Linked DNA regions of Solanum lycopersicum. The protein of the gene in region 2 interacts with the protein of the main gene of each other region in a pairwise test. Links are inferred from orthologs where the notes say so. Each region holds a gene or a part of one and is shown on either strand. Other genes may lie near its edges.

Region 1 (3,036 bases), on a different chromosome or scaffold from region 2:
ATTTCATTGGTGTATATATATTTTTTCTCTTACAATGAGTAAAAGTGAATGAATAAAATAATAATAATAATTAATTGTGTTTGAAAAAAACATAGAATCTCTAATATTATCAACAATATAAATATAGAGATTCTGATCAAATATTTTGATATTAATATATTATTTCATCATTTAAACACTGAAATTTAAGAAATAATCTACAACTATAAATTTTTGTTATCAATCTTAGAAGAAGTTAATTTTCAAAAAGATTTAAAATTTGTATCTTGGAGCTTAAATCTTTATACATTTATTTATGAATTTATTGATTTTGTTTCAACTCCCTCATACTTGGGGATCAAAAGTTCAACACCACCCAGCTAACTAGATATTAATTGTGTTTGAAAAATTGCTTATATAATGAAAAAATGTTTTCAGAGAATCATTAAGTTATGGGAACAACAACATATCTAGGAAAATCTTACGAGTTAAAACTAAGGATAGAATAAGATAATAATAGATTTTCATAGGCTATATACAGCCCTAAAGATAAATTTTTGATAGTTCCTAGTAAATATTGTATTTGCTGATCACATCATACAACAAAAAGCACCACATGAGCATTGAGTTTATGACCACTTGTTCTGCACAAAATGAAAATGGGAAAGATAAGACACTTTTTTCCATTGATCTCAAGTCACAGATTCAGTGTCCTGACAAACAAAGTTTTAAGTTCAAAATTGAATCCCTGTTGGTGCACACGCCAGGAAAGAGAAGAATACAACGACTAACATAATTTAATCTACTTGAGATGCCTCGTGCAGCTCATACGTCTGAACTCATTGCCAATGGCCAGGGGTTGAGGCCGAATTCAAAAGTAAGCAATGTGTTTGCTAGCCAAACAAATCATCAGTATCGTCATCCACATTGCTTGAGATACTCCCAGAGACTCTGCCTAAGGAACCAGGGGAGTGTCCTTCAGCATCGTTAGTGGAAGCAGACTGACCGATACCAGAATATGCCCAAGATCCAACTTTACTAGGAATTGATTCTCCATAAAGATCGTCATAAATTCCACCCTTAGGCGGATTCTTCACCTTGTTCAATACCTGTTTAAGTTTGTCTGTTACACCTGTTTGGGAAACGTTGACATCTTTTACAGAGGAGTGTTCTTTCCCTTTGGGTATCACTGTAATTTCTATAAGAGACTCATATTTTCCAACAAGACTTCCTTCTTTCACACCCACTGGACCAGGTTCTGTCTCCACATCTACTCCATCTGAAATACCGACAACTTCAACTAGCTCCCCCCCAACCTGGTCTTTAAATGACACACTTCTTCTCCTAATTCTTTTTGTAGGCCTCTCAGATGAATGATTGGCATCCTTCTCACTAGTTGATACTGTTGATTTTGACAATGAATCAGGCCTAGTAAGTCCATAGCGGTTTAAAAAGGTGTTATAAGCCAAAACAGCTTCCTCATCTGAAGGATCTGGAACTGGTGGTAAATCTATTTCTGCAGGTAGTCGTGCAGGAGGGAAGAGAGCTTCATTGTTCTTTCTCAAGATGTAAGTCCTTGTTGATGCAGCAAACTTCAAAGATTGTCCAGTCTCGAGCTCGACAGGGGAATCCTTTGTTAGCCTCTCATTAGCAACAAATGTTCCATGTGCAGATCCTAAATCAATCACATAAATGCTGCGAGAGAAAAGATATTATTAGTTCACATAAATTATTTATTTTCGTTACTTCTACTGTGTCTTTAGACAAAGAAATTGCACCTTTTAAAACTGTAATGCCTATCCTTATATAATATCTTTTCAAAAGGTGTGTCTTGACATCTAAGGATAGGCATTACAGTTTCAAAAGGAGCAATTTCTTTGTCTAAAGACACACAGTAGAAGTAACAAAAAATAATAATTTATAAGCAGGCCAACCTGATCATAAGAAGAAAAGAATACTTCTATGTCAATAAGGATTCTCACTATTGACAAGTTGCTCTTTTTCCCGATAAGGTAAAATTTTATTGATAAAGGTACCAAAATGGCACAATTACAGCAACCCAACTGCAGATTAAAAAAAGCCTTCTACATATCATCTAATTCCTCAAGAAAATTCATCTATTCAATCAAGTTTCCCATAACACTACTTTTACACCATAACACTACTTTTACACCAGAAATGCAAATCTAGTAAACACCTATTTTAACACCTATTTTTTACCCTGGAGATATGTTTGTCAAAATTGACAAGTTACATTAACAGTGTTATCAAAATGACTATGCAGTCAAAAGAATCATCTTTATTACTTAAATCTAAATGGGGCTAGATGCTCCAATTCACGAGGATTGGATGACCATGATAGATGATATTTACAGATACATGACATTCTTGATGTCCCAAATTGTACAATTAACAGTTAACAACAAAATTTGAAATGATCTTGAGCAACATCGAATAAATCCACAGTTCCTCATTTCTTGCATTGTGGGGTAGTATTTGTGAATCTTCAAAAATAAGCAACAAATATGCAAAATATCATTGCTTTAGTAAGAATGTCCAGCAAGAACAAATTTAAAAGTTGAAGTCCACACAAGATATTTCCACACATATATAAGTGATTTATTAGTAATGGAACCATGGCCCTGACGCCAAAGCTTGCTTAATTTTTTTACTTACTCACTTCAGCTCAAAGAAGAAATGCATAAAAATGAATTTCATAACATATTCAAGCATTTCATCATCATAGAGTTATATTCGTGTTATGTAGTATTTCATCCATTCAATAATTACTTGTCGACTTCTCCTGCCAAGCTAGCCTAAATAACAAAATAATATGTTCACCACTAAATAAGCAAAAAACAGGAACACGTGTCACACCTTCCATTTTTGTGAGGAACCACAGCAGCGTGCTGGCGTGAGACTGACTGATGATCAAGGACAAAATCACAAGTGTGAAACTGTCGTCCAAAGATATGCCTTCGCTTATCCAAATTAATTCGATCAAGTACCTCCCCGTCTTTGATCACATCAAGATAATAAACGCCTCGACGTGGCTCA
Region 2 (3,629 bases):
CGGTGGAAGTAAGAATTAGTCCGTGTGCATGTATTTCCACACTGAATACTGTGATATGTAGTGAAACAAAAGTATATTCATATGGTATATCACTGCTTTATTATCCCCCCAATAAAAATAAAAATTAAGGTTCATCAGTATTTAATGATCCAAGAAAAAAATACATTGGACTTATAAGTGTGTTGGAGTGATACAGGAATCTTTCCATTTTTACATAAGTATGCATGAATATGTATAGCTAATTAGTGTATGCTAATTGTCTACTCGATATTATATTGTTCACCTTAATCGAGTTATAGATATTTGATAAATCCAACTTCAACATGGTGAACAGATAAGGAAAAAACTAGCTAGAAAAAATAAATTTTTTTAAAAAAGATAAGGAAAATAGAAATACAAATAATGTAAAAAAAGAACTTTTTAGTAACGTGGACAATTGATATGAAATTGAAACAAAGGGAAAGTTAGATGGTAGCCACAATTTCAGCACAACATGTTGGTTACACATATAGCCTTATTATACATACGAAAATTGTCATTTAAGAGCAAATAAGGTACTGATTACTACAATAATTAAGCTAATTAAGAGGAAATCAAATCAGAAATTGATTTTAAGTCTAGGGTGTCTTATCACACCTAAGATTACAATTACAATTATATATTAATGTAAAAATATAGCTTGAATCATCCACTCTATTTCTCTTGAGACATTCCCTTGAGAAAGTCTCTTGCTCCAAGCCCTATCACTTTTGCCTCTGATCTCTTCATGATCCTTAGCCTTTTGCATGATTCACTGAACATTCTGCTAAATCAAATTCCAATTAATACGACTTCTTTTGATTTTTTCTAACACTACAAAATGTTTGATGAGTAACCGATCAAGGTTGTTATAGTGTGGTAGGTAGTAATTTATTCTTAACCAAGAGGTTTCAGATTTTAGTTGTCTTGGGTATAAAGCTGCCTTTGTTAGGAAGTTTTAACCTTCCTGGCACGAATCCCTATTTAATCGGGTTTCAATGTTCTAATTTATCGGCATAATGATGTTTTGATCTATGCCTTAAAAAGGACAAAATTGATCCATCAGTGAATATATGCTAGTTTAAATCACCTAAATTTGACTAAATTGGTCAATTTATGTACTATAAGCTAAATTTTACACCCCTTTTAACACATTAATTAGTTTAGTTTTACAATTAATTAAAGAAGATTCAATTAGGGATAAGGTGCCCGAGGGGCAGATCGCGTTAAAAAATTACTAATATATAAAATTTGAACTTTTTTTAACATAAGATTAGAGGTCGACTGAATTTAAAATTCAGTCGACAATTTCAAAATTCAAATCTCAAGTATTATATTAAATATGTTCCTAAATTAATAAAAATTCTGAATCTGTCGTCTCGAATAGAACATAAAGAGAAAGTGAAATACTTACATCCATGGAACATCGCCGACAAGCATCCAATCTCCATCTTTGTCTTCATAGATTGGAACGAACTCTGACTTATCTGCATCCTCCAATGCTTCTCCTGTTGACACATTTAAATACAAATTTAACATATATAACACTAGCAATTAAATTGCTTATATTTATGAAAAAGATGCTCGATTTATGTTTATTAGTATAGTACAGTAACCGTACATTTCAATAATAATAATTTCACTTTGCCTAAATAAATGCATGTTAATATAGAAAACTGAAATACTAACCAATTCCATAGCAATCAAAGAGTTTTTCAAGAGCCATAACAAGTTGATCATAACCCTTATGAGTACTCAAATCAACTTTCCTCAAAAACGGTGCTCCATCCATGCTAACTTTGACGTACATTTTATTATTGGATTCAGCTTCACGTCCGTTAAAACTGTTCTTTTTCCGGTAAGCACACACAGGAGGCCAACCAACAACTTCGTTCTTGTATTGACACTTGTAATTATTAGCCTCAACGTTGTTGTTGTTGTTGCTGCTGCTGCTGTTTCGATCACTAGTAGTAATTTCCGAATAAACCCTTTTCTTTTCATTTTTCTCCAATATTCCTCCTGGAAGTCCCAATCTTAGCTCAGTAATTTCCAATTCTGTTGCCATTTCGTATTATGTTTTGAAGACTGGAAAATTAATATATTGTTGTTTTGATGGAAAAAATGAGTGTGTGTGTTTATGAGTATATATAGGAAATAAATAATTGAGAAGACAATGGCAGGTAAACTAAACTTAATGGTCGGTCACATGAGATACAAAGGTAGGGAAAATATATATGTTAGGTATGTAATTTAAAACATTAATAATTTGTGGAGATTTACTTGTGACCGTTTGATATGGTTAACAAAAGACATGCCATGTGATGAAGTGTTCCCAATATGTTTGTAGACACATTAATATACGCGTGCAAATAAAGGTACATATATACATGTAATTATTTCGAGTTGGGATAAAATTTTTGCAAGTACGGATAAGGTATGTGTATATATTAATCTCTTCAGATTTTATATACGGGTTTATATTGGGTAACTTATGGATTGGCCGAATCAAGTTTGGTTTAAAAGCTATTTACGTGATTGACAATAGAATCTTGTTTAATAAGTGGAACGCAATAACTGTCCGCTATCAGGTTGGACAGTCAGGGTAGGAGAAGGGCAATGACTCATTCTTATAACCAGCGTTTTTAAGAACAAGAAGTCGGGCGGAAGGGGGAAAAGCCCTACGTTCCTGGTTCTCTTTATAGTTGAATCCAAGTCTCTTGCCACCTAAAACTCTGGCAAGAAAGCACTGCTTTACCTTTGATCCTATGTACCTTCTCTCTCATTAATTTTAAGAAATTTATTCGTACAAATTATAAATTTTGAAGTCAATAACTTGAAAAAAAACTAGAATTTCATATTCATAAGTACTTTAAATTATGATTTCGTCTCTAGCTAAACAAATCTTTTAATTGGACAAGAGCCTATTTGGGACTAAAATCAAACAGGAGGGCATAATTATTCTATTTCACTAGTTAAGGGGCAAATGTGACCTTTTGTCAAAACTAATACAGTTAAATTTAAGTTAAATTAAGTGTTATGTTTATTTCAAAAATTTTACATATATAGTCATGTATTTGAATTAGGATTGACAATTTCGAAACCAATGAATACACATATTTCTCTTGAAAAAAAATGATAGTTTACGAAAAAGAATACCATAATTTATTTATTTTTTTGTCTCCGTTATAATTTTCTAATACACGGACAATTAATTTTTTGAGGAACATATCCAATTATAATAGGGTATATGGATATTTGATTCTTGCAGAGAAGGCAAATTTCTGCGAGATAATATTATTATTTACACATATAATAAGTAGCATGTTATTAAAGGAATATAATTTCTCCAATTATAGACAATCAGTTTATACTACATTATAACAAGAAGATACCACGATGAGAATATTTTGCAATATTGGGACATAGAAATCTTACTTTGAATCCCTTAGATTAGAAATTAATACATAAATATAACTATTGTCTAGTCAATTATTTACAAATTATAGTTGGTCTTCTATCAAATATATAAATTCAACATTTTAATTAAGTAGACATTCTCTTGCATGTGCACGTATCTTATAATAATTGATACGACCGATTATTATTCAACT

The links.
Region 1: the proteins of IAA19 (region 2) and protein phosphatase 1 regulatory inhibitor subunit PPP1R8 homolog interact in binary tests that used the Arabidopsis thaliana proteins (3 or more experiments, as listed by UniProt). The link is inferred for Solanum lycopersicum from reciprocal best matches to the Arabidopsis thaliana genes IAA19 and AT5G47790.

What each region holds. Positions count from the first base shown.
Region 1 is NC_090803.1:6,018,775-6,021,810, reverse strand, and holds the end of protein phosphatase 1 regulatory inhibitor subunit PPP1R8 homolog, read right to left. Parts: coding exon 2,857-3,036; intron 1,675-2,856; coding exon 873-1,674; 3' UTR 636-872; downstream 1-635. UniProt on the Arabidopsis thaliana protein: Inhibitor of protein-phosphatase 1 (PP1). Binds to and inhibits PP1 activity.
Region 2 is NC_090802.1:65,646,264-65,649,892, reverse strand, and holds IAA19 (IAA19), read right to left. Parts: upstream 2,130-3,629; 5' UTR 2,084-2,129; coding exon 1,708-2,083; intron 1,527-1,707; coding exon 1,433-1,526; intron 803-1,432; coding exon 694-802; 3' UTR 511-693; downstream 1-510. UniProt on the Arabidopsis thaliana protein: Aux/IAA proteins are short-lived transcriptional factors that function as repressors of early auxin response genes at low auxin concentrations.